Styela clava: one gene and its partners. Each later gene encodes a partner of the first gene's protein in a complex. Links are inferred from orthologs where the notes say so. Each region holds a gene or a part of one and is shown on either strand. Other genes may lie near its edges. The genes, in order: syntaxin-5-like, syntaxin-18-like, vesicle-associated membrane protein 7-like and BET1-like protein.

Region 1 (7,853 bases):
ACATGTTCTTGGTTGAAAGATTGGAAAACCAAAAGAAACAGCTTAATTAATGTGAAACGTACATATATCAATTCATATTTTAACATACTTGTTGATCAAGCAGTTGCATTGTATCTTGTGAAGTTGATGGCGATGAACCATCCATTGATATTGAAACATCTCCAGAAGAATTCCTTTGTTCATCCATTATTAAAACTGAACCTCCTAAAACAACACAGTCATGGTAATAACAATACGAAATATAGAGTGCTGTTGAAATAAACAGGTAGGTCTGTTTCTATACCTAAAAGTGCCATATATATCCATCAAAACAAATTTTGTAATTGTCAACTTACGATTCCCCTGCATAGCAGATGGCGGCATACTTGATGATAAATTAGTAGTACTGAACTGATCTTTACGCAATTTCTGTTGCTTCATATTTTCACGTCGAACTTCAAGGACAGATTTGAAATTATCAGACATTGAAGCAAGTTTGGACTGAAATGAATAATATTTAATTTCAGCTATCTTGTTTCATATAGCTACAACAATAACGTTGAAAAATTTCAATAAAATTGACATAAAACTCACCCTTAATGTGCGAACAATAGATGACGAATGTTTTTGAATATCTTTATGGCCACTAGACCTTGCAGAAACTACCTGCTCCAGTTGAGCAATTTGTTTCTTCAACGAAGTGATGTCTTGTTTAATAATATATGTCAACTCCTGGATTTCAACAGGTCGATCATCGAACAGTGAACGTTTTTTACATACTATAAAAAAGAAGTAACCGATGAGAAATATTTTTTATCAAGTCTCATAACGACTATATGAAAATATATCATATAAACAAAAATCCAATTACTATTTTTCAAAAAATAAGAATTTGAGTAAAATAAAAAATTCGGCAATAGTGATTATGATGAAGTAGTCAACTAAAATAAAAACAAATCAAAAGATATGCATAACATAATAACATAATATGACTTTTGATTTACCAGACACAATCAGTATAAATTTCATACTTACACAAAGTTAGTTTTTCTAATTTTTCATATGTCTTACTTATATCTCTGCCAATTCGCCTGAATAAAAATATGCAATATGTATTTCTGCCACTTACTTGACGACAATTATTAAATCAATTAAATAACTGTGCTCTATGCATATTCATTGCTTTCATCAACAGTTAATTTATAACTTAAATGGGGTATATATTATATATATATAACAATTCAACAAATCTAATTCCACAATAAAACAAATAGAGAAGCATTAAACTGAAAAACAAATAGTTAGTGAAGTACTGCAAAGTATAGAACAGCATTGAATGCTGCAAAGTAAAGAACAGCATTGACACTTCTGATATAATGTAATTTAATTTTTTCTCCAAGGAAAAAGTTGTCTGAAATTACTTTATTGCAGTATACTAGAAATATTCAGAGTATTTCGAAATCAAAAATCATATATATTGAAAAGTGCGTTAAGTACATATTATGCTTACTTGGCAAATGTAGAAAATTCACTTCTATTTTTCAGAGCATTGTTTTGTGCTTTATGTGGAACCCCACCATTAGACTGAAAATACAATAACGTACATAGAATTCATAAAAATATGTACACATAGAGCAAATATGGGTCAAGGTACAACACAGCTCTGTCACATTTAACAAAATTTGAATGTATGGCAATATGATCCTCTGCCAAACTGCGAAATAACGAGTCAATGTCTTATACCATCACATGACATTCTATATTAGGCAAATATTAATTTGATATGGAAATTCCTCATGATTTTCAAGTAAATTTAATATTTGGTTCTTGAATACCTGTCTCGATTTTAATGACTTCACAACAGATTGAAATTCTACAGTCCGGTCGCGGCACGCGGAATTCATGCTTGTCATTAAATCTGCTGATTGGCTTGAATTGTCTTCTTCCAATTGACCAGAAGAAACCTCGTTACTTTCAGTTCCGTTGAAAAGTATTCTCGTTGATGAGAGTGAAGGAAGTTGTGAAAAAGACCAACCACCTGTGAATATAATGGATTTCTGTACAACTGTACAGTACTTTTCGATATGTCAGAATTTGCAACGCAAGCTGATTCGTCAAATAAAGTTCTTCTATATTGGTCATATGGTCAATGCAACCGCCATGATCAAAGTTTCAGTCAGTTGGGATATCATCATACAAACAGCTGGTACAAAAATTAAGAACACATCAATACTGCAATACAAGTGTATAGTCTTTTCGAAATAGTGTTCTTTACACAGATTTGTCAATCCATCTCTCTGTATTGCAATCAGGCAGTAGAATAGTGTCTTGTTTCTTAGCTACATAGCAGTTCCACAATAAAAAATCAGCAACAAGTTTAATACAGCTCTGATAATACTGTAATAACAGAATAACCAAACAACAAATGCTCTAGTTTTCAGCAGCTTTGTCAATAAGTGACAAAGTGTTTGGCGCTATTAATGAAAAAACTGAAGAATGAGCTTCGATAAAACTTTTTGATTATCTTAACTGCCATATGCTAATCAATTAAACATTTCAGCTTTATTAATTTTTAATTAAATTAATAAATACAGAAATATAATTTAATCCAGTACCGGTAATCCAGTAATCACAGAAGTTCAAGCAGATATTTGAAAGAATACGGTATTATTTATCTGAGTGGTACCCAGACCGTGGCATTCAGAGTGTATAAAGGTATAGTTCAGAAAGGTCTGAAGGTAGTTTCAAATAAACGCGAATTACGGTACGGTACGGTACGGTACCGGTACCGGTAGTGAATTAACTGAAGCCATTTACAGATTTCACTACAGCACTAACCTGAAGGTGAGCTTTTTTCATGAGATCCGATTCTTCGCCTGGTAATCATCTAGTCATATGACTTCCAATAAAACATGGGATACAGTTTCTAAGACTCGAAGACAAATTTGCGTAAATCCTACGATAAAAAGTTCTGTACCGTAACACAGAAGCAACCTATTGTATAAAAGCTGACGAGGTGTCTTTTCTCATTTTCATGCATGGCCGATTTCCACGCAAGTTGATTAACGTCACTGTCTGTAGTGCACGGAAACAAGAAGGAAGATGACAGAAAACCCAATTCATTAAAATGAATGAAAAGGTAAATACTGTAAATTGCTTACTACCTATTATATATAATAGGTATATATATATTCAATTGTTCGAACATGGATTAACTCCCGGAACAACTGCCTGATAAAAATAGAAATGCCTAGTTGGTGGTTGATAGGATTTACATAGGCTATTTATTCCGTGAAGGGGAAAAGTCGATAAGACGGCTTGCTCATATTGCGAACCGCGGCTTCTCTTCTGTTTCCCAGTCCTCATTGGGTATGATTTTGCCTGTTATCTTTGACTCGGTGGTTAATAATACCTATGCTATTATCCATTATTGTAATTAGGTGATCAGTCGAGCTATATTTGGATTCTCCCTACCTTTTAATTTCCTGTAGTGTTATATACTGTGCCCTGTATGTACACAGAGATTTTCTGATTTGCTGTATAGTTAAAATAATGGCCAACATGTGAATGCTTAGTGTGGTTTGATCGACATCAAATGTTTTTGCATGGCTTGTGAACAATCTCTTGTGTCCCAACTACAATCTCCTCTTTCTCAGGTCTTTCAACTAGTAGTCTAATGATAAATTATTAATATTGGTCAATATTTATTCAAATCAACAATATCTTCTCAAAAATGTAGGGTAGTTTTCTATTGTTTCCTTATTTGCAATCATTGAATATTGTACTCGCAGATATATTTTTCGTTTTTCATAACGTCGTGATGATCGATTTAAAAGGTCGCTAATTCAACATAAAATGTGTATACCACTATACATTAACAATATTGCAGACTGATGGATCATCTTTGATGAACTTGAACTGACCCCAGTGATCAACAACCTCAATTAAATTTCCTTGCCTATAATCCATGACCTTAAAAAATCTCACTTGAACCTTTAATAACCTATATATTGCTGTAACCGATTTTCCTATCTCGATATCATACTGCCTTAAAATTAATTTTAATTATAATTACCGGTACTTTTATTGATTAATAGTATTTAAAGTGATTTGGACGTTAGTTTGGCTTTCAATTTGGTGAGGCTTAGCCCATCCCTTCATGCATCCAACTTAAAATTCTGATTGGGCAATTTGGCATTAGGTGACTCCAAATATAATCAGCTTGACGATATCTTTTGAGGAATTTTTTTTTATCCACAATGTATAACTCATGTTGGCAAGCCTCATAAAATTATTATTATAGTTTGGCAAAAAAAAAATTTTCATGATTTTCATTTAGTTATTTCGTTTGTATATTTTTCTTTTTTACTGAGTAATTCACTAATACTTTTGGGTGAGCGAACACGTGCTATTTCCTTTATCAATACCTTTTCTTTAAAATTTGTACGTTCCAAACCTTACTAGAGGTTTTGTTTGCTTTCCCAATTCTATAATAAGTTAATAATAATAAGTTTTTATCAATTACATTATCGTCTATTATGCTGATTATGGAGTCGAAATAAACTCATACTTACCTGCGAACCCACGCATGTGTATTGCTGACGAGAGATTTGCATTGAAACATTGAATATATTAATTTTTGAATCGCATCTGCACAACAAACATTTTGGGGACATCGGACAATCACTTAAAATGAAATTATCATATCCAGTGCCAACATGTTTATTAAATGTAAGACAGAGAAACGGAGGCAGTGACTACGGGATGCGAGCATCGATACCTTAACAAGCAAAGTCAGCAATGATGCAAAGGTGATGAACTTCTAGTGCTTTGTGTATTGACCATAAGTTCTCACAATAATGTAAAAAAATATGTAAAAGGCTAGCATAAGTTTTTGCTGGTTCTTGGTTTATATGTAGCTCCTCGTATATATTTGTTGGTTGGACGTCATTTGGTTAACTGTAAAGTTCTTTGTGGCCACTAGGACCAAAATCGCGTCAGATCTAAACCTGGTAATTCGTCAGTGCCAATATCGATTTCATCGCATCTCTCGTCTGGTAATCAGTTCGTGTCAACAGTTAGCGCAACTAACCTATGCCTCGCGCTAATTTTAGGGTTAGTCCATTAAATGTACCCAATATAAATTACCACCTTGTATAATTTTATAATGATAACTGAATGAATTCGCTACTCGCAAAGTTAATTTTACGACCGACCATCATTGGCAAATGCTCAGGATTACAAGGATTGCCAAGAAAAATAGCAGCTAATCACTTAATGTTATGATTCGCGTATTTTGGCACAGGTCCCGTCACATAACTTCTACTTGTTTTTTAACTCTTCACCACTTTCGCTCATCAAAATTATTTATACCTTCACAAGTAAGCTTCGCCCATGAATTTTATTTTCTCGAGTTTATTTATGGCATTTATTTTTTTCAGTATGATTGTCGCGATGTTTTTTCCACTTGTGTGGGTGAATGGGCATAAATGCCGGCCGGTTACAGCGTTCGCTATAAACCTTTCTGGAGGTTTTTCCCATTTGCCCCGTTGTCTGTGTTTTTATTTTTCCATTAGTGTTCGGTGTTGCAGACGAAAAATCGAGATAAAATTGTATTGTAATTCATTTCTCACCACAAAATCTTAGTTTTTGATTATTATTCTCATTTCCGACCGCCATCAATGGGTTTATATATATACGAAATACCTCAGTGAATAATTAGTTTATCCACTTGTAATCGGTACTTCAGACAAAGCTTTCTGCGCCATGACCACTGTTTTCGATCGTACATACCTTCACAATCACGTATTGTTCATTTACGAAATTCTGTTCACACCACCATGACACAAGCCCATATATATATGCAAAAGCCACACCTTTCACACCAATTCATAAGACTACTCATTTTACCACTTTTTTTGTTGCACATAACATCATATATTACAATTGCACATTTAAAAATGAATGATTGAATCAGTACCACACAATCCAAATATTTTTGACAAATAAAACAATTTTAATCAAAGCCATTTACTGATATCTCCGAGAGAAATGCATACATATGTAACAGTTGATGGCATAAATTAATTGATTGTAAGTAAACCGAAATACAGCCACTCACAGCTAATCAAATTAGACAGCATGATCAAGTTATCTATCCCCCAAACATTGAAATTTATCACTCAGAAATTGGCTTATGTAATGTCCAAACAATAGTTTGTCCAATGCCGCTTGTATTTATTACAGAATATCCCAACTTTTCCAATTTGTTCAATACAATTCGAGGAGGGTCAGAGACTGTGTATTCTTTGCTAAAACAATTCAAAACAATAAAACATTAAAAAATGTGGTATGTTGCATGTAACATGGCATAAAGAATCAAGACAAACAGGTTGCAACTAAACAGAATGCAAGTTGTTGGTAACCTATGCGATGGCACAAAATAGTATATTATTCTACTATTCTATCCAGTGGGATTACCAGTAGCATTATCTTCTGTATTAACTCAGATCCAATTTTGCAAGTTAGCAAACAACATCACTGTGACATACATATCAAAATTTTTTTTACTGCAGTATCAGAAAAATTCAAAGAATATAAAACTAGCATGGAACAAATAACTATCCATTCTGACAGACAGTTTCTCATTGAATAAAAAAGGTACAAATCGAAAACATCCATAACAAGATTAGCTCACAAAGGACATCCTTTCTGTTGCCCCAACACAGCACCTATCTTCGTCATCAAGTCTGGATCAGACTGTTCATCTCCAACAATTGTCGGTCCAATTTCCTAAAACAACCAAGAAGTGAGATTTATTGATTTTAATTAGACTAAAGTTAACTATTATTCATATCTAACACAAGAAATTAAATATATTTTGCTTAACCATGTCATTAATCAAGACAAGAAATAAAAGAATTCAACAACAATTTCTCAGATTTAGGTTTGCATAATCACACAACAGACCATAAAACTGTATTTCCCAAACACAAAATATTGTTTAAGTGCAATTGAACCCACTATACCCTTAGATGCCTGACTGGCTTCTAATGCCTAGTTCATAATTGAAATAAATTTTTATTTTTTCAAATTTTTGTGGAAAAGTTAATGTTGTTTATATGCGTCTTAAACTAATATTGTGGGATTTATTTTTCATTTTGATTAAGACTAAATCATATTCTAAATTGGGCAAAGAAATCATATTTTCAAAATTTCTACTGAAACTGTTTTTTTCCTGGATTTTATTTCATATTTCAGTATCAGGAGATTTTATACAATACGATAAGTGATCAAAAACATTATGGTTAATAGATGATACTTACTAATCGAACCAGTGTGCTCACTAACAAATACGGCATTTATTTCACTGCAGTCTACTACAAGTCTGCAAATGAGGGAATGTTTTTATTAGTTAAAAGTGCAGACTCATTAGGTCATGGGCCATCAGAGCCTGAGACGATTCACTGAGCTCGGTCTCACTGGCAGAGTGGTTGGTGGTTAGTTGAATGCGAGTCTAGGGGTCTGAGTCATTTCATTTACTGATTTAGATGACTAGAGTCTTTGGTAAAAGATTCTCATGTTACGGGGTTATTATGTACAAAAGCGAGGAAGCTAACAAGTCAGCAAGTAGACCACACTTCTTACAGCTGTACAGTGACTTGTCAGACTGTCTAAGGACCCACCGACTCAGGCCAACCACGATTTATTACCTGGCAGCCTGGAGCAAAAAGGCATGCCTATTCTATTACAGTACCGTATTATAGAAGACTAATATATGAATATGTCAAATCCTGTACAGTACCGCACCATATACAGTAATAATATCCAGAATAGAACACCGGTAGGTACCGGTACTACTAATCAGCGAAATG
Region 2 (6,532 bases), about 3.2 Mb from region 1:
AATAATTAATTCTAAACAAAAGTGTAGGGTAGTGCTGTTTCCAAATATGTAACCCTTGAATATCCTACTCGCAGATTTATTTTCTGTTTTTCAGGTCGTTCTGTGATGATCAATACAATGGCTAGTTTATTGAATATAAATAGTGTCTACAACAACAAAATTTGCAAGCTGATGTCTCATCCACGACAAACTTGAATTGACATCTATTACGCCACAATAATTAAATGAAGAAATGATCCTGTGAAATAACAATACTAATTCCTTTATTCCTAATTCCTTTATCCTTGCAGAAGTCAATATCTAAGAATGAAAAAAAAAAAACCTTATAACCTTAGCAACCAACATATTCCTATACCCTGTCTTTCTACCTTAATTAATTATAATTACTCATACTTATAAAGTTACTGATAGATTTGAATACTTATTGCAATCTGGACTATAATTTGGCAATAATAGGCTCTAGTTTGGGCAATGAAGTGATCTAGCCCAGGGGTTCTCAAACTTTTGGTGTTGCGGAGCCCTTGGAAAGGTTGACTATTATTCACGGAGCCCCAAAATAAATGTTAAAGTTGTTACTTTCAGATTAATATTCCTGAGCAAGTTAAAAGTACTTTACTTAATTTAAATGCTGAACCTTAGGGTTAATACAAGTCATACATAAATCTAAATTTCAAACATAAATTATATATACACTAAAGCTGTAAATTTGACACTTGACAAACATGTTAATAAATAAGGGGTCGAAACTTTTCCCTTTTGACATTTTTGGAAGACTTAAAAGGCCGCTAATAACGTGCGCAATTGCATTTTGTTACAATCGCCGATTTTTTTCGTCAGCATGGCGTGTCTTTGAATCTTTTAACATCTTTACGCCGGTGTTTATTCTCCCTAAATCAAAAATTTCCCTCGGCATATATATACATGTATAGTTACACAATGACGACGTTATTCGCTTTTTTGTTCTCGTGGGGAATTATGAGTTCAATGTGAAAAACATGTTACCATATTATAGTCATCGTTACGAAATGCTAAAAATAATAATTAATAAAGAGATAAATCCGCAACTCAAATTTCTTGATTGAAAAGCGGCATTCTAAAATAATAAGACTAAAACTTAAAATGGAAGATCACAGGTTTGGTTTCAGCAGACTCACCTCAGATTGAAAACGTATTTATAGACATTGTAAATCACAAAAATTGGTGTTATGTTAGGTTTTCATCGTAGTAACTGCGAAATCGAAACAGAGTCAATGGTGCGCGCGATGTACCTTTTCCCCCATTATGAAACTACCGACGGAGCCGCACGCAATCAATTGTGCGCGCTCCGCGATGTACCTTTTTTTTCATTCTGAAACTACCGACGGAGCCGAATGCAATAAAATAAATTTCAATTGTTCGTTAAATGCTCGCATCGGTCATGGATTAAATATTTTACGCAATAGAAATCTCGTTATCCGTTTTTTTTAATCGCGAAGAATGTTGCGCGGAAATTTCCGATTCCAATTTTGAACCACCACCCTCTTAATAATCCTGGCTGCGCTCCTGCTTATAAATAATGTCATTTTTTAATTCCGCCTCTTTGCCATATTTCGAGGCTATTTTGTTGTCAGATTTTATCAAAGCTGTTATTGCTTCTTATTAGAACAGTTACAAAACTAGTCAGTATTTTGAAAAGTAATCCGATAGCTCGCGGAGCCCCTGGGTTTCTCTCGCGGAGCCCTGGGGCTCCGTACGGAGCACTTTGAGAACCTATGGTCTAGCCCAGTGGTTCCCAAACTTTTCTGACCATCGCCCCCCTAAAGTAGTTTATACAACTTCATCGCCCCCCAGCACTACAAAAAAAATGTAAAGTCAGAAACGAATATATTACAGACCAAATAAGAAGACAAATCATAGTTTATAGTGTTATTTAATGAGATGAATGAGCTCGGTGTTCTTCAGCAAATTTTTTATCATATCTGAAATTACCCAGTTTACTGATGGAAAGGCGATTTCGTTGTTTTGATGACAATAGTAGCACGGCTCAAAAACCCTTTTTCACCATATAATAGGTCGGAAATGAAAGAATCCAGGGTTCTACCTCCTCAAATACCACCGTGTACTCTTGCCTTATAGCATTTCACCCCCCGTAAATTCACCCCATTTCACATTAAATTAATGAAAGCAAAGTTAATTTTCCCAAAGTTATAATAATGATTTTCGTACATCTCATTCATTCCTACAGCCTGATGACCTGCACCAAAACACTTCGGTAAAATTCATCCCCGATTCCTTATCCTACCACGGCCTACAGCCCTATCACCAGTCCATAGAATTAATCAGCTATTTGTTTTTGGATTCATGGACTCGGATGTGAAAAAAAACTGTGACCGACTATCGACTACGGCCCAGGGGTCGGCAAATTTTATGTCGCTCGCGAACTCAACTCAGTCGTCTTATCAAAAAATTATTACAATGACATTTAATGTGACACTGTCATGTTGCTGCATCACGCTTGATAGCTTTACGACGCCAAGATTGGAACATTTTCCAAATGGGCATCACTAATCCCAGTTCTTCGCTTGTTCTTTGTAATGTCTCCATTTTCGAAAAAAATTGTTCGCACAAATATGTACTCCCAAACACTCTTAAAATAAGCACCGAGAATTTTAAAATGGTAAAGTATATAGGAAGAATTTTCCGCGGGCAAAGGTCGGGGATAGGTCTATTCAGTGAATCGTCCCGGTACAGATTTTTTTACTCCGGCCGTATTTTGCCGACCACTGGGATACGCCAACTACCGTACCTTACTGCGGAGACGAGTCCAGCAATCCTTTCGAGCGTGATAATCGACCACGTGATTCAAGCCTGCGAATGCACACAGAGTACAGAATTAAGTGCACGATGCGAAGAGCAAAAACGGATTTCGCGAAATCGCCCCCCTATCGCCCCCTTCGACTTTTTCGTCCCCCTCTGTATCGTTTTCGCCCACCGGGGGGCGATATCGCCCACTTTGGGAATCACTGGTCTAGCCCACCTCTTCATGTACCCAATTCTGGCAACTTTGGTTGGGCATTTTGGCATTTGACTCCATCTATAATCAGCTTGACAATATATTTTTTTATAAAAGTTTATCTTTACTGTTCACTCCCATTTATAAAATTGATCAATTTGGCAGTGGCAATCATGATAAATTTATTAATATGGTGTGGCAAGTAATTTTTATTTATTTATTTTTTATTAACTACCAGTATGTAATTTTTCATGTTCCCTTTACTTAATAACTTCTATATGGTTGTGTGTGAGCGTGTGTGAAATGTTTCAAATATTTTAGGTGAGTGAACACGTACCACATCTTCTTGGCAAAACCTTCCATCTTATATACATTCTGTACGTTTTAAACCTTATCTAAGGTTTTGTTCGCTCTCCTGATTTCATAATCAGTTTTTATTTATTTATTTTTACCATTCATTTTATTGTTTTGCTGATTATGGAGTCGAAATAAACTCATACTTATAAATTTTGGGGGAATGTACCGGTAATGCGTTGCCTAGATATAGAAAAAATATTTGTATGGTACATCAGAGCAAGTTAAGCTTAGCATCCTAAATATTAGAAAATTTTAGGGGTACCGGTACATGAGCGATCTATAAATTGTCTAACAGGAAGTTTTGCAAAACCTGCTTGAAATGGTACAGACTTTTTGAGACCACAAACTGACAAGACTGTTTGAGTTCTGGTTTTGTTCACTTTAGGAGTTGTTAATAAATACACAATGATATTTGGGAATTTATAGATTATTTTCAAACGCCACCTCGTAATCGGAAAGATATTAGGGGTGAAAAGTCTGTAAACCCATCAAAGCATAAATGTTGAATTGAAGAAAAATCAGATCTTTGAATCATTCATTCTAGCCTCAAATAGCTGTAGTCTATTCTACTACTACTATAGTGTTCAAGAAGTCACCTAGTGGCTTCAGCATTTTTCAATCTGAATGGTCCAATGAAGTTCATATCTTCAAGACGATCTGTTCTAGTTTGTCAATCTGATTATTTTTAAGTCATTTATTTGTGAAAAAGCATGTCAAAATAGGACTTTTTGTCACATTTTTGACGTTGTTTGTTTTGGCATAGTTTTCAGGATCGATCACATCTGGACTAGATAGGAAATATCAGCATATGTTTTATAGAAACCTCTGACATTTATTTAACTAATATGTATATCTTTAACCAAATTTTATAGAGTTTTAGTTGGACAATTAAACTTGGATCATAATGCATATAAACTTCATGGATCGTACGAATGATTTTAAGAAAGCAATTCGTGATATTAGAAAAGAAAATAGTATTCTAGATAATACCGTACTGAAGAAACCATCTCTGGATTTACATGCTTATAAAAGGAGAAAATCTGATTTTAATAAGAAGGCCAATGACATTGTCCAGTCTATATCAAAATTGCGGGATTTTTTACTGCAACACCGCATTGCGTATATAAATTCTCATCAAGCAGTAGGCCTTGCGTCACAGCCAATGAGTGATCATGAAAGAGACAAAATTGATGAGGAAGCTCAGAATATTATTAAGAAATGTAATGATGCCATTACAGTGATGCAGCAAAACGTCGAACAAGACAATATATCTGATCAACAATGCACCCATAGGCAACTTGTACTTGCTTCAATACAAAATCACCTAAAGTCTGTATGTAAAATCTACAGTGAACAAAGAGCAATCAGAGTTAAATTAGTGGTTGACAAAAAACGCATTTCACGTTTGCATAATCCGGAAACACATAAGAAAGCTTTGACACAGGATCCAGATCATTCAAACAATACAGAACGTCCAGCTATAAAATTTGAAAGCAAATTCAATTATGAAGAGAGTGATGAAGATGATTTTTCTGAGACTGAAGCTGCAGCATTGGAACAAGAAAATGTTCTGTTATTCAATGACATGAATAGCATGGTTGATGAAGTGCGTGCAATCGAGGGAAAGGTTGTTGAAATTACTCGGTTACAGGAAATTTTTAGTGAACAAGTTTTGCAACAGGAAGGAGACATTGAAATAATATCAGAAAAAGTTATTGAAAGTACTGAAAATATCAAAGGTGGTAATGAGGAACTGCGGGAGGCGATAAAAAACAATGCTGGGTTCAGAGTTTGGATATTGATATTTTTATTGATGTGCTCATTCTCTCTTTTATTTCTTGAGTGGTATAGCTGATAAGGTGCGATAAATATAACTATTACTGTTCTATATTGAAAGGGGTGGTGATAAAAGTATCATTTGGCACTAAAAGGGAATCAAATACTGGAAGAAGCTGAATACAAATGTTGGTATAGGTGTAATTTTTTTAAAGCTAAATCTGATATTGAATGAAAGCGGGGCTGTGAAATCGGAAGAAATATAAACCTGACTCTGAATGCCAATACATTCAACTCCGACTCCCAACTCTGGGCTAATGAAAATTCTGCTTTGTCTCTAGGTTGAGGTGAATTTTGATGTCAGCTGGGAATCCCAAGAAAATCAAACTTTGTTGTTTGCAAGCATTCTTAAGTTATCTAGCTGCTGTGAATGCTTAGTCAACCTGAAGCTTTTTGAGTTTTGTTAGAAATTTTAACTTTGATTGTCACCATTTAATTCTGAATTTTGATTCTGTGGGTGTGCAGTTTGAAAAATGGGTATCTCAGTCGGACTCCAACAATATTGATGGACATTTAATTCCATGTTCCAGTTGTAACAATTTCATTATAAAATCATTTTATGATCTGCAATTTACACTTGTCTTTATTCTCAGTATCTGATTTCAAGGCCACTATGTTTTTCTTAAAATTTGCTGCAATATTTACAGCTTTTGTCTATGGCTTTAATATATATAGATTATAACTTTGCTAGGTAGTGTGAATGCAACTGCATTATTATTAACCACAAGAGAATTGAAAGTATATGGTGTTATTTATCCACATTGTAAAAGTTTTTTAGAGAACACTTGCGAATAAAACTGCCCATAAGAAGATAATGAATCAGCATCTGATAGTGCCTGATTTAGGTTATATTTTTAAGGTGAAGCACTTTCAAGCAATCATTAAAATGTGTTATATGTATAAGTATAAAATCAAATTTAGTGATTTTATGATTTAGCTTAGCAAAGCTGAATATACCTTAAATTGCTGCAATGCCTGGAGGTATAATGAAATTTTAAGGTTTGTAAATTTGAACCAACCACACAAATTGTGAATCAGCATGCTATGGATTATCGCACTCAATTGTGGGTATTGCTGCTGTCTAGTAAATTTATGAACTAGTTTCAGTTTCTTTACGCAAGTTGCCCGAGAGAACCAGAATACATAAAATATAGTAAGAGGCTCAAGAGTTTTACTACAAACATGCGGAAATGTGTACGAAGTTGAGTACCTCCGACATCTTTCAGATTGCGCTCATTATGATTATGAGGTGCTATCCCTGTCCATACACTAATAACACACAACAATTTTTTCCACAATTGGTTCTTTGTGCCGTAAGTGGTCTGATTTTTGAAAAGCCGACAATGA
Region 3 (7,267 bases), on another chromosome or scaffold:
TTATTTCTATATTATAGTACTGATAAAAAATACCCCTCGATTTGAGATATTGAAAATGGGCAACAGATTTTGGAATTTATACATCCCTGTATTAAATAAGCAGCCTTGAAGAATTTAGTTTTAATTTACAGCAGAGAATTTCCACAAAAAAAAAATTCCTTGTATATCATGAATTTTTAACGAATTGAAGTCAACACTGATTGTTCATGACACTAAAGAAAGATGATTAATTTGCAGTGAACACTTAACGAAAAAAGATTGAACTTGCGATTTGAGAATTTCAAATTTTCAACAACTTCAATAAAATAAAATCTAATTTATATCAGAGTCTGATGCCTCTCAGTAAACCTTTTTTGAGCATTTAGATTACCTGTCTCATTCAAATAAGCATTAGTATGAATTTTGGTTCAAATCATTTACATTTATACCATATCTACTAAAACCCATTATAAGATAACTAAGGCACAAATAAAGAGTATTACAAAATGCTACAACACTTGTATTAATAATTTAACTTAATGGATTTAAAAAGAAGAATTTTAGCACAGTCGCACAGCTTTCAAAAAAAACTTCTATGACATATCTCAGGGGTGACCAACAGGACGATTGCCACGTCTTGAGTTGTCGACCGTGCTTATCAACATGCCTGCAAGGAATATGTGTTTAACCAATATCCAAGCATCACTCATTTAAACATGAACATTATTAAGCAGCAGGTTCTTGTGTGGTATCTGTCAAAACTGAGCCCACCATACCAGAGCAATCCCGCACGGGCTTTTTTAAGAATCTGGGGGTGAACAGGGTTCCAGTCTAGGCAGGGGATAATTAGGATGGCTATATCCACAAGCAGCTCTAGTGTCTGGTGTTCAGGGATTTGAAGCGGAACATCCTTATTGAGGTTCAGTTCTAAATTTAGTACTCGTTCATTTTTGTGTGTGACTTTATTATCCATCAGTCAATCGCAAGATATTGTGAAAAATTAAGTCAATCTCAGTCAAAGACAGGTTGGCCCCCCCTGGCATAACTGCAGACATATTCATTTATAAAACAGTCAAGTGAGATAAACAATGCTATGTTTCAAGCGCATGAGAGCAATTCAGAGGAGTCCAAACAATTCAGAGTATATGAAATTCACAAATGAATATATTTCCGAAATCCCAGAATCATCAAAATTGGGGCTTTATATGGTAATTTTACACAGTTTTGAATAGTCATTCATGTTAGTAGAATATGTCCATTCGTGGAAATTCGATTTAAAAAGGGTTGTCAAGTTATATTTATTTATCATATGATCACTGGACAGAAAAAATATACAGCTAATGGAGTGAAAATGAGACATAACAAAAGGACACAACTAAAAACTATCATACCCTAAAATACAACAAAACAAACTTATCAAAAATATGAAGGATTATCATTTCCTGAACTTTTAAAATAAACTTTCTGTCATGCATTGTGCCAAGAGTCTAATTATCGTTGCACCACTGCTTACTTTACACATGAAACACAATATCAATTTTTGTGGAGATAGTTGCGTGCAAGGGTTGTTCAAATACATTGAAACAGATTGAACAGACCAATGCAATGAATTAACAGTAAATATTAGACTAGGTATGGTAAATGGGGAATACCTAATCAGCCACAGTTTCTAGCATGATTTATTTATTCGTCCAACATGAAACCATAATGACAATTCAGGTTGATGAAAAAATATAATACAATAAGAGCTACTCAAGGCAAGTGAATGAAACTCATCAAAAAAAATAACATGTACGACTAACGAATATCCAGTATTTAACAGAACCAAATTGATAAGTGTTTCCCAATATATGCTTGTACATTAACGAAGTCAGGAAATGACTCATTGGTGAAAATCATTGAAGAATAACCGTATTTGTTAAGTAAAACTCATACTCCAAATCTGCCTTTTAATAGTTTGACGGCACTTTTGTATCACTCAAAAACTATAAATGAAAAAGTCCGCTCTAGCAGAGGTATTGAACAAACTTAGAGAATTCACCAATTCATAGGTTCAGTTTATAACCACTATTTTCAGCTTAATGCACAACACAAAACTAGAACCATTATCAAAAAACAAAAATTTGACTTCAAAATGCATGAAAAAAAAATAACCCAAATCACTAATACCAAACTTTGGCAAACTATATGACAAACTCACTACACGAATCATCAAATAATAAATTCAATCAATTCTTGAACCATTATTAGATTTCCCCACGCACTTTGGCCAACTTAGTCCTCCACAACCCGCAGAAACCAAAAAATATATGACTATTATTGCAACAACAATCAGGACGATTGTTATTTTAACATTTTTCCAAAATAGCTTCCTAGCTAGGTTAGTGCTTTGTTTTTTGAAAGTGACAGATGATTGGCTAAGATCTTCTGTTTTATCCACAAGTAGATTGAGATTTTCTCCGCGTTCTGTTATGCTATCAATATTTTTCACCATTATACCCTTTAATTCATCAAGCTGATCGTTGACTTGTTTTACTTTTGAAATCTCGGGGGATTCCACGACAGGTTTGGAATACTTTTGCATTTGAGACCACAGTTCCCGCGAAAATTCATTATCCATCGCATATGGTAAAGCTGTCAAAGCAAGATCTCCATAGTTTCTCTGAAACTTTCTTTTTATTTCTCCCAGAAATTGGAACGCCTTCGAGCGCTCAAATTCATCTTCTGTTATGGCGTAATATACAATTCCATTTTCTCTTACATAATGAAATAAATAATTTCCTTGCGAATATGTCATTTTTGTATCCTTGTCTGGAATCTTTTTCAGTATCTGGTCCGTGACTTCGTCAAAATTGCCAGCACAACTTGCGCATTTGGCAAGAATTGTCGTCTCACGAGCGACAACAACATATAAAAGAGCCATACTTATTTTAGATAGACTAGTGAGCTAGACCATGCCCAATATAATTCTGTAAAGTTTCAAATTTTTCATTTAGCATTATAGTTTGATGTAAGACTGAATACGATAACTCAATCTCCTAATTAAACAAAAAAAAACTTTTCATAAGTACGGTATACCGGGTACAAACTTATTAATAATGTGCCAGGCTCTATTGCTGTGATTGGATATTTTATTTATTGTCCCAGCAAATTTCAGTACCAGGTACCAAGTCAATTCGACTCACTGCTGCTTCTATCACAGTATCTTTTTTTTTTTTTTTTTTTTTTTTTTTTTTTCTATAAAATTGAGATGGTATTTTTGAATAATAGGTTATCAGTAATAGGTTGCGCGAAAACAGCACAATGTGCCATGTGGTATAAAATTTAAAATATAAATTAAAAAGGAGTGAAAAAGATTTTGTTTCCACAAACAATGTTAATATTACAAAATAATACAAAACAATATTCAGTAATTGCAAAGCAATTTAAACATTGTTTTGTGCAGGCCAGTACTGCAGTATGACCATCGAAGGTCACTATGGCTGCTGCGCGTTTTTGTGCACTATGACTGTATGAGTAAACTGACAAAATTGGTTGCGACAATATAGCTAAATGGAAAGATGAGAAAATAGCCAGAGATAATTTTTATTCGACCATTTTACATCTTATAACTATGCAACTTGACTCGGCGTAAAATTTTTTCATAATATACTGTTACTGTTATATGGATATTTAGTATGTTATTGATCACCATAAAATAACCGACTCAATGTAGAGGGCCTAATCAATAAAAAAGCACATATTACTGTACTAAATAACACAAATGACATTAAATTATTATCAATTTCAGAAGTTAGACAACACTTTCAGACTTAACAGTAAATATTCTTCAAGAAAAAAACATTCATTATACTCATTCAGAGGCTATTATTATATAATATACCGGTACCTTATATCTGCATGAAATGACTGAATGATAAAACGCCTTTTCTCAGCAATAAAACTAAAAGGCGCGTTATCAACGTCTAAGCCCATCGAATGACAATTCGGGAACAACAGCCACGATATCTTTTTTTTTTTTTTTTTTTTTTTATTTATAAAAACAGTCAATATTATCAATACTAGTCAATCTTAAAAATGTACTATCAAAAGCTATGACATTACCGACTTTTCTAACAAGTTTTCAATTCTTCCATCCTCCAAAAAGCTATTTTTCATATTTGATGCCATATTTTTCAGCATCCCTCTAATTTTACATTTAAAAATTATTCTCATAACTGATTGGAAATTATCCAAATCTTCAAATATTATTTGATTCCTGAATTCCCAAATAGCTGCCTTTCCACATGCAACTATCATAATAACTGACAGGTCACATGTATTTTGTGCAATAATGGTATCAATATTATTTTCACTAAAATGCAACTCGCACCAATCCCAAAATATTTTAACATAATAGCATTCAAAAAATAGATGTTTACAGTCTTCAATGATATTAATATTGCACAACACACAGTGACCATCATCATATTCTGTCCAATGCCTTGTTCTATTTCCAGTAGGTAATGCCATATGAATTATTTTCCAACATAAAACTTGTACAATTTTAGATATTCCATGAACCCAAATGTTATTCCAATCAATATCAAATTCCAGTCCATAATATTCCTTAATTGATAAACCTTTTTGTTTTGTCACTTCCATTATCTTTTTACTTATAATTTGATTATACATATATTTCGTGGTTGGAAGTTTTTCAAATGAATATATTGAACTGGAATCTGTTTGAACATTACTTTGACTATTCAACACATTAGCCCATCCTGATGGTATGGCTTTTAAAATTTGTACAGAATCTTTTACTACTTTCCTATAACAATCAAGTTTTTTATTTTCACGCATACTACTCCATTTGTTTATGCCCCAAATTTTGATTGCTATTTCAAGACAGTCATATTGGAACAGATGGCCAAATGTTAAAATGTTTCCTCTTATCCAATTATTTATAAATTCTGGTTGATTCAACCATGTTAAGGCTGGATTCCACCATATGTATTGATCATATATTTGTTGTTTAGTGGTAATTTGTTTCGTTTTTACATCAAGTTCCTTGAATATGTTGACCGAATTTATATAAAACTTAGGAATGTTATTATTCCTTAAAATTTTCAAAGAGAGATGTAGTATTTCTAAATTTGTCACTGTTATTTTAGGATGGTATCTATTTATAAATTGTTTCGCTCTCTTTGCCCAAGGAGCCTCATCACTTTTTAATAATTTCCAAATCCATCTAACTTGTAGACTTTTAATCTGACTACACAGATCCATGGCCTTCAGACCTCCTTCAACTTTCCTTGCACAGCAGACTCTCCTCTCTACCGTGGGTTGTTTGTTGTTCCATACAAAATCCCATACTAGGGTCTCAATTGTTTTAATGATATCATTTGGAATTGTTATTACAGCCGCAAGATACCACAATTTAGATAATAATAGACTTTTAGTAATCAGTATTTTCCCTTGCATGCTCATAGTTCGAGCTCTCCATATATTCACTACTCTTTTGATTTTTTCTATAATTGGATTCCAGTTTTGTTGCGTCGTGTCATTGTTGCCGATCCAGACACCAAGGACACATAAACTATCCCTTTTTAATGCTATACCTTGAAACTATCACAGTATCAACAAGTCCCGTCCAACTTGTCATCATAGATTTCGTGCGTAAAGCGCTGCTGCAATGCAGTAATGCGACCCGCAATATCCATAATGCTGACTGGCTGAAGTGCGCTGTTGATAAAGAGGCCTAATTGTTGATAACGGGACATTCCTAATGCGACCTTACTGTGCGCAATGCGATGCTCCTCGAACGACCAAAGGCTATACCGGTATGCTACAGTACCGGTAGTCTATTATTTGATATGAGAAATATGGCTAACGCTTATACCGGTATACGGGGCATTTATAACATAAAGGGTTAGTGTGTATATACTAAGGTAAGGTTCTACGCAGATTCATTCTTGTGGAAGCTATTTCATACAAAATTACATTTTCGCAAACTTACATACAGTCGAAGTAGCCTACACCAAGAGGCGGAGGGAAATACTTTCACATGTATAAGTATAAGTTTATTTCGGGTCTCAATAATCAGCAAAACAATAAAATGATTGGTAAAAAAAATAAATAAAAACTGATTATGAAATCAGGAGAGCAAACAAAACCTTAGATAAGGTTTAAAACGTACAGAATGTATACAAGATGGCAGGTTTTGCCAAGAAGAAGTGGTACGTGTTCACTCACCTAAAATAATGAAAATATTTCACACACGCACCCACACACACAACCAGAAGTTATAAATTAAGAAGTTATAAATTACATACGGGTAGTTCAAAAATAAAATAAAAATTACTTGCCATACCATATTAATAAATTTATAACGTTTGCCACTGCCGAATTGATAGATTTTATAAATGGGAGTGAACAGTAGAGATAAACTTTTATGAAAAATATATTGCCAAGCCAACGACTAACATACCAAGCTGTGCCAAGCTGATTATAGTTGGAGCAATGACATTAAACAACATGATGCGCCACTCCGCCATTTTTGGCCGAAGATCGTGTCCGATAGCACGCTCCAATGCACATACTTGACGAGACGAAAACGAGCGGATGTGTGCTGCTTTCAAGGAATAGCACGAATGGTGTTCGTGCCTGCTTTGACAGTTGTTGTCGATTTTAATGATATTTTGTAAAGTTGAGGTAGAAAGAAATTGAAAAAAGGTAAGGTAAATACTATTGTTGTATATCACACCCGGGCATCGCACTGTTTAGTACATGTGGGAAAGCCAGCTTTTGTCAAATACTACGAAGTTATTAATTCAGTACGGTACGTAGTTGTCCATTTGCCGAAATTGCATATTTACTTACCCCTTATGGTTTCAAATAGTTCATGCACCTCCAGTTAGATTTTTTATTCAGTGAGGATATATACTCATTTCTGTAACATACTATTGCTCAATAACTTTTATTTGCGTATTGAATCAAAGGGTTAACAAGTTCACCTAACATTTTACTCATACCGGTCTATATTGTATAGTCTGATCTCTCAAGTATAAGAATGCTTGTAATTTTCTGACTAAACCCTTTTATTAGTTGGTTTATATACCAAATTCAGTAAAACATATTTTACATAGACATGGGATATTGGATTTATTAGCTTTCCCATTCTAAATCATATAGACTGCTTTATTCATTCTTAACGAAAATTAATAAATCTCCTCTCTTTCTTCAGATGTGAATGTTGTGGAAAAACCTGTCTAGCATTGTGAGACTCCTGCAGCACAAGCGGCAATAG
Region 4 (7,518 bases), on another chromosome or scaffold:
ATTGAAGTCAAGTGTAATTTGAATTTGGGAATGCTGAAAATTTGAAGCAAGCAGTGATTTATTTAATGCAGGGAGGAAGCAGTGAAATATGTAAATCCTATCCTATATTTTTAACTGTTTGAAAAAATTAAATAAAAGCGTTTTTGATCATACTTGTGTGGGACTTAATTTGCATTTCAAAATGATAATTATTAATCAAATGAAACTATTTGGTGTTATTCCATCCAAAAGCATAAATTTCTATTCCCAATATTGAATACAATTAATTTCTATTAATTCAAAGATTGGATTAATTTTGGACATCCCTGCTTGGAATAATTTTTATAAACTTCAACTTTCCCTTGTTAAAGTGAAATAATGATCCAATAACATGTAAAGAGTTGATAAAAAATATTAGATGACAATAGACTAAATATTTCCATCAAGAATAGGTTACCGTAGTTTTCACTTGTGGAGAAAAATATAAACAAGTGCTAATTCACAGGTATGGGAAAATGTTAAAATAAAACAAAAATATATATTTAAACAGTGAACATAATCCAAAATGTTATTGTTTGAAGAGTATAACCTCGCAAGTCAGTTCAGCTTCGATATAATTGAATAGGATGACAAAATATGAATATAGTCATTGCTTTGATAAACGGTTTCTAATTATAGCACCAAGCATACACTAGTTTGATCATATTTATATTACAAAATTTAAATATAAAAACAATTAATTGAGGAAACTTTTATGAGAAACACTTACCACACCATCCAAATACTTATTCTGATCATCGACATCATCTCTCACATCTAAGCTTATCTAGAATGGAGATGTTGTATAAAGAAAAAAGTGCTGTCAAATAAATGACTGAAATTATAAAAAAAATAACACAAAATTGTAACTAAAAAATATAGAACTCATAAAATAAATTGGAATTGTCACACAGCTAGTTAAAAACTAAGTTGTATATATATTTAAAAAATATTTATCATAGAGCTCAATAGCAATTGATACAGAAGATAATTAAATTAGGAAGGACAAAATAATTTTAATCCAATAATTAATAAATTCTTTAAAATCAATCACATATCCCAGAAACATAGTTAAGTTCTAAGTTTTAACCACGAACACTGTGGTGTCAATCATTGCACCTATCTTTGTTAACACAAGATTATTTATTGATAGCAGGCAAGTGTTGGATCTGTTTAATTATATGTAGAATAATTTTCTTCAGTAATTTGGTTATATCATTAATAATCTGAGTTATGCATTGACAGCATTGTATTTTATTACTTATACCATTTTTAATCTGGACACTTTAGAAGCGAGTTGATCAGCAAGGCGATCATTTTCTGACTCCATAATTTGTTCTGTTCCGGACGTTGTCCCACCTGTAAATAAATGATAGAAACTTGAATTGAAAAACTAATAACTGTTGTATTTTGGTTCAACTGATATACAGCATACAAATATTAAATTATATTAATGGCCCGAAAATATACAAGAGCATAAAAACTAGTCAACATATAAGAGAGATTGATTTATCGATACATTCTTTAATTTAAGAACAGACTTAGGTTTTGAAGAAAAAACAGATTCAACTGAAATTCGCTGTTTCCAAAATAACGTGTTCACTTAATATTAGTAAATATGATTTGTAATAAAACGCTGCCATGAATATTTCAGGAGTTAGGATTTAACTGCCTTTGAAATTCAAACGAAACATTATATTCATCTGCATTTTTCCTTTCATGTGCGAACATGAGGAAGCTTCTAATTCCTGTGGATGATAAAACACATAACTATTGTGTTAATTTGACAGCCAACTTCACCAAAATCTAGTCTAGTTTATTACAATTCAACCTCAAATTAATAACGAAAGATGTGCATGTGTTATGTGCTTACAAAAATGAAAATATGTACATCGCATATACACTATTCAGGTTATTCCGGAAATAGCTTGTATGTTGGTATGTGTGAACCACAGCCTTCCATGCGTTGGCATCACTGGTCAGATATGGGTGGGTCTGGTATAGTTTAGTACCAAATGCACTAGTTGGCCTGGCTCAATATTTTTTGCATATGTCATTCCTAATTCCACCTGACTATGTCAAAAAATCACATCATTGCGATGTCACAGTGGAGTAATAAGGCCGAACAAAGTATGTGGATAGTCGTTCAAAACGCGCAGACAATCACCCAAAACTGAGCAAGCTATCTCTCTCTTTTTCTCGTCGCAACGATCACGATACAAGAGAGAACGCCGGCATTTATAAGTTCGTTATCGGCGTCGCAGATTCCATTTCAGGCAATCCTGCAATCCTAACTAAACTTTGGAAAGCTCTATGACATGATTGTGATGCCGTAGTGACGTAATTTTTTGATGACATAGTCTGGTGGGGGTTAGGAATAACATATGCAAAATTCGTTATGCTACGCCCACTGGAATTACTTGTGGTACTAAACTATACTAGACCCGGTATAGGCTGGTTTAATGTTTCAGATGCATGGAGTTTGATTATCGAGAAAGCTGTAATTAAGTTACCCATGCCCATTTTTAACATGCTTTAGAACTGTAGAATGAAATCTACTGTATTTAAGATATTTTTTAAGGAGCTCTGCTCAAAGCAAATTCAGAAGGTCGCGATAACTCACTGCGAAATTAAGGAGAATGATCCCAGAGCAAAGCTAAGAGCAACAACTCAAATACCAAGGGCTACCGGTACCGGTACAATACCGGTACTGTGTACGGTAATGCGCTAGGATTTACCGTACATCTGTACATACGGTACCGAATATATTTATCATTGCCTATACCGACATGTGTCCTTCATGAATTCAAAATGGAAATAGCCCATAACCAAACTAGTGGATTTACCTGAATTTCGATTCCAGTGAGACATCTTGCTGGATGCACGCACTTCAAGAAACTCCAAACAACAAAACGAAGCAACAAACGATTGACGACGTGTATCCTCTTCACTATTCGCTAGATGGCATTCTTGTTTTGTTCAAATATCAGTGACCCATAACCGCGCATGTGAGACTGTGAGCCACTGGGAACATGATTTTTGCAATGGTAAAGTAAAGAGAGAGCCCAAGGTTTAACGTAACATACATGACCATACTTTTACTAGATAAAAATAGGATTCGATTAAAACAATCTCGAATAGCGTCTTGCCCAAAGAAGAGGGTCTGGCCCAGTGGCGTAGCCAGCCCAAAATTTTGGGGGGGGGGCCAAATTCGAAAATTTTAGAAATTATATTGGGTTTAAAACACCCGTTCTTCAAGCGCAAAACAACAACAGTTGGTCAACAAGCAAACTGATTCAATTACTCAGCTGGATTTTTGTGAATACGAAATCCATTAATAAACAATTTTTTATTTGAAACAACAAATATTAACAACGCAATTTGAATAAGTAAAATACATCGCCCCAATTAAAAGTCCATCCTTCGCTTCCCGCCAACTATGCTCGACACAACTCGATTAATTTTCTCCTCGGTGACCATTTCACGGTGACATTGAAGCACACACAAATCAGAAAGGCACTTGGACGTCATTGATGAGCGCAGCCATGTGTTTACCCGTTTCATGCATGAGAAAAACCGCTCAGCCTCAACGGTGGTTGCTGGTAGCGTCATAACAATCTGTATTGCGGTGTACACGCTTGGATAATCTCGAGCGCTCAGAAGAAGCCCCTCCAAACATTCGTCGTTAACGTCGGAACTTAAAGAAGTTCTCCACAGTCTCACTCCATTCTGGAGGTTATCCAATAAATACAGACGCTCTACCTCATCCACGTGAACTGGTTTGTTCGGTGGAAGAATTGATAGCAATGAAAAAAATGAAGGGTTGTCAATGAAGCGTTCCCGAATAGAGCAGCTCAAGCCGTCGACGTATGGGAGATATACGGAACGTTTAAAATACTGGGATGCTGAATCAGCACAGACATTATCGCGATAAACTTGTACTTCGACTACTCTGGGTATTGTCAACTCTTTCAAGCCAGCTATTTCACAAGCTTCTTTGTAAATATTCAATGCGATTTCAGAGTCATTGCGTTCTTCAGCGATAACGCTCTGAAGAGAGGATGTGAGGTTCTTTACTGACGGCACACTGACTCCGACCGCCTGAAGTGCGCGCGCTAGTGGCTCCATTAGTGCCGAATATCGACCAATCAAACATACGGCGTAGATAACCGACGACTTTTCTAGAGCAGATTTCAGAGAAAAAGCCTTCGTCCGCGTCTCACAGTTAGCATCTCTCGCCAAAGAATCAAGAGCCTCAAGTACTCGTTTGAAGTTGCATTTGAAGATTCGGATGCTCTTGTACTTCTCAGACCATCTGGCGGGGCAGAACAAAGGGATGTTAATTCCTAAACCCGCGCGCCTTTTAGGGCTCTCCCTGAAAAAACGAATAGTCTCACGAATGGATATCACAGGTGCTTCTGATGATTGCAACTTTACTTTGATCATTTATGATCAAATTCAAACAATGAGAAGCGCAGTGCACAAATATTGCGCGCGGGTATTTATCACGAATGCGTTTTTGCACACCGCTGACGTGACCTGCCATTGTCGTTGCACCATCATAGCCTTGCCCCACAAGTTTTTGCAAATCCACTCCTATACCAGAGAGGTGGGTCAAAATATTTGAGGAAATTGATTCGGCAGAAACAGAATCCATTTCCACTAATCCTGTGAAGCGCTCGCACACTTCACCACCTTTCACATACCTAAAAACGATGCTTAGTTGTTCTTTCCCAGAAATATCACATGATTCGTCGGCTATTACGGACACAAACGATTTATTAGCCTCCATAACGATATCTTGCACTATCATGTTGCTTGCTACCTTGAGAATTTCATTTTGTATCATCGAGCTTGTATACTTAGCGTTTCCGGCCATTCTAGCGAAATGCCTTTTCAAATCTTCATCCCCTGCCTCGATACGAAATAGAAGAAGGTTCACAAAATTTCCAATACCCCCGGAATGTCCGCGCAAGGGTATGTTACCCGAAGCACAGAACATGACAGTCTTGACAATGGAAGTCATTATTCGTCTGTTTTCTTTTGTTTGCGTAGCATATTGGGCCTCCATGTTTGCACGCACATTTTGATCAGTTTCCATGCTTTTGACAAAATATTTTTCGCAGCTATATTTGATTCTCGGTGGTAATTTGTGTCTCGGTGTGCTACAGCCTTTTCCATAAATTTTTTGTAGTCAATGCATGGTCTTGTAACAAAGGCAGTGTCCCTGAGAATTCCATGCTTCAAACGTGCTTGCATGACTATGCATATCTTACACAAACCACCCCCATCAGAGAGTTGGGTGTAAACTAACCAACTACAAAATCTGTTATCGTCAAGCCATTTTATGAGAAATTTACGACGACTTTGTCTAACAGTATCCAGAATCGTCCCGTTTTTCGGACCATCCGAAGTTAGAAGCCAGTTTCTCTCCGCATCGGTAAGCTGTGTATGTTTCTTAAGAATAAATCCAAGATCGTTTGTTTTCCCTTCGTTGATTATTAGTTCATCTTCGGGAATAGATGTGATAGACGTAACTGACGTAACCGGTGCATCAACAGCCTGAGAAGCGCTTATTGATGTATTTGAGGAAAGCGAGTCTTTATTTCGCTGAAAAAAACTATCGAATTTCGCCTGTTTAAATTTAGCCATCGAAGTAAATTGGTCATCAAAATCCAACCGTTTCGAATAAAAATCCGGCGAGAACAAATCAAGACCGAGTAACAAACCGAAAGCTTGCGAAACGGTCTTTCCCATACTGCTCATAAGAGCGAACGGTCAAGTCTTTGTGACGTAACAATGACAATCGGCAAGCGTGACGAGACAAGATGCCACAAAACTGGTGGATTAGGAATGGAATTCTTGAAAATTTTGGGGGGGGCCATGGCCCCTCTGCCCCCCCTCCCCCCTGGCTACGCCTATGGTCTGGCCAACTGGAAACTAAATTTTGTATACTACGACAATGTAATGGACCTTTCCCCGAGCACCGCCTTCCTTGTTCACTTCGTGAAATTGGCCAATCAGCAAGATGCAAAAAGTGACGTAACAATGCTACCTTCTCGCATCCGCTCAGACACTTCTTTCACTCAGATTTTTTCAGACAGATTTTCAGGCGTGGTCGTAAACATTACCTCGTTTTCGAGTTTTTGAACTCTATTCGTTAGTTTTCAGTTGTGTTACGGAAATTTAAATTAGATAATTCAATGATCACTCTGTCTTCCTATGAGTTTTAATTTGATTGCAGTAATCAAAAATCAGTGTAGAATTAGCTGTGATAGACTAGGCTAAAATTGTTTACCGGTACTTTTGAAAAACAGATTGTTGTATGCACTGAATCATAATGATGGTTTTAAACACATACCCCATTTTACAGGCGCCAACTCGCGAAACCACTCCTAAAATAAGCCCCGACAATTTTGCAATGGTAAAGTATAGGAAGAATTTTTCGGAGGTCAAAGGTCGGGGAAACGTTCATACATTTTGTGAAAATATCTTCAAATTATTTGTTAGCTTTGTACTACAAAACTCAACAACGGCCAAAGTAATTCAGCCCTTTGTTTTTAACTATGTCGTTCAGAATTACACTGATTAATATTACATGTGATTTGTATTACGCGATGTTGGTTATTTATTTACCTATCGCATTAGATGGTTCAACTACCAAGCATCGATCATGAATGATAACAGTTCTCCAACAATCAAGTTGCTAAAACTTGGCTAATGTTCATTTAGATATTTGAACCTTGGGTGTCGCTGCTTGATAACCAGCTTTGGTTCCTCGCAGCTTTCCCTCCCCAGTGAAATGTGTATTCAATATTATTTATTCGTCTTAATTTTGCATGTTAACTTTTTTTACTGTGTGGAAAAAATAAACTTGACTATGACTACTAGTAGCTTCCAGCTTCGAAAAGTGACCTGGAAATTTTTTTTTTTTGATAGTGGCCCTCTCGGAAGCTTGCAGTGAGAAAAAGTGTGTCATAAGAACTGACACAGTGAATTTTAAAAATCGTTCGGAGAATTTAAGCTGTTAAACTACATCAAATATTAGCAAGTTGGCGGCTGAGGGCCAAATCCGTCTCGTTAGATTGCCTTTAGCTTTCAACTGTAGCGTACCAGCCGTCTATGAAATAATTATCCAAGTTCAGAATATCTTCCAATATGGTCTGACGTCCAAGTTCTCTTTCAATATTCACTCCAAGTTATGCAATTTTATTCTATTTATCAATTATCAATCTTAATACAACCAAATACTCCAAAGCAACGGAAAGCATACAATAACAAGAGACCTGTGCTCAAATACATGGACACGTCACAAAGTGTCGCTATTTTTTATTCTGACACATAAAAAAAATCTCTTGAAGTCCACAGAAATTTTTGAAATAAGTAAAAGTAATAGCCTTCTGGCAAAAACATCAGTCTTTAACCACTAAAAATTTCAAAGCAATTGGTCCAGTATTCGAAGAGAAAAGCGATTTCATTATGACGAAAGAGAAGAAGAAT

What was found.
Region 2: syntaxin-5-like (region 1) and syntaxin-18-like share a complex: the UniProt entries of both Homo sapiens proteins name them as parts of the SNARE complex. The link is inferred for Styela clava from reciprocal best matches to the Homo sapiens genes STX5 and STX18.
Region 3: syntaxin-5-like (region 1) and vesicle-associated membrane protein 7-like share a complex: the UniProt entries of both Homo sapiens proteins name them as parts of the SNARE complex. The link is inferred for Styela clava from reciprocal best matches to the Homo sapiens genes STX5 and VAMP7.
Region 4: syntaxin-5-like (region 1) and BET1-like protein share a complex: the UniProt entries of both Homo sapiens proteins name them as parts of the SNARE complex. The link is inferred for Styela clava from reciprocal best matches to the Homo sapiens genes STX5 and BET1L.

The regions. Positions count from the first base shown.
Region 1 is NC_135253.1:7,448,625-7,456,477, forward strand, and holds the start of syntaxin-5-like, read right to left. Parts: upstream 3,018-7,853; 5' UTR 2,867-3,017; coding exon 2,818-2,866; intron 2,018-2,817; coding exon 1,815-2,017; intron 1,564-1,814; coding exon 1,490-1,563; intron 1,071-1,489; coding exon 1,015-1,070; intron 759-1,014; coding exon 574-758; intron 481-573; coding exon 336-480; intron 205-335; coding exon 89-204; intron 1-88. Other genes in the region: GTP cyclohydrolase 1 feedback regulatory protein-like, read right to left, coding at 6,158-6,290, 6,677-6,771, 7,305-7,340. UniProt on the Homo sapiens protein: Mediates endoplasmic reticulum to Golgi transport.
Region 2 is NC_135253.1:4,204,042-4,210,573, forward strand, and holds syntaxin-18-like, read left to right. Parts: upstream 1-4,009; 5' UTR 4,010-4,253; coding exon 4,254-5,204; 3' UTR 5,205-6,004; downstream 6,005-6,532. UniProt on the Homo sapiens protein: Syntaxin that may be involved in targeting and fusion of Golgi-derived retrograde transport vesicles with the ER.
Region 3 is NC_135250.1:21,528,605-21,535,871, reverse strand, and holds the start of vesicle-associated membrane protein 7-like, read right to left. Parts: upstream 3,007-7,267; 5' UTR 2,903-3,006; coding exon 2,204-2,902; 3' UTR 1-2,203. UniProt on the Homo sapiens protein: Involved in the targeting and/or fusion of transport vesicles to their target membrane during transport of proteins from the early endosome to the lysosome. Required for heterotypic fusion of late endosomes with lysosomes and homotypic lysosomal fusion.
Region 4 is NC_135255.1:10,596,603-10,604,120, reverse strand, and holds the start of BET1-like protein, read right to left. Parts: upstream 3,019-7,518; 5' UTR 2,890-3,018; coding exon 2,865-2,889; intron 1,378-2,864; coding exon 1,286-1,377; intron 806-1,285; coding exon 749-805; intron 1-748. UniProt on the Homo sapiens protein: Vesicle SNARE required for targeting and fusion of retrograde transport vesicles with the Golgi complex. Required for the integrity of the Golgi complex.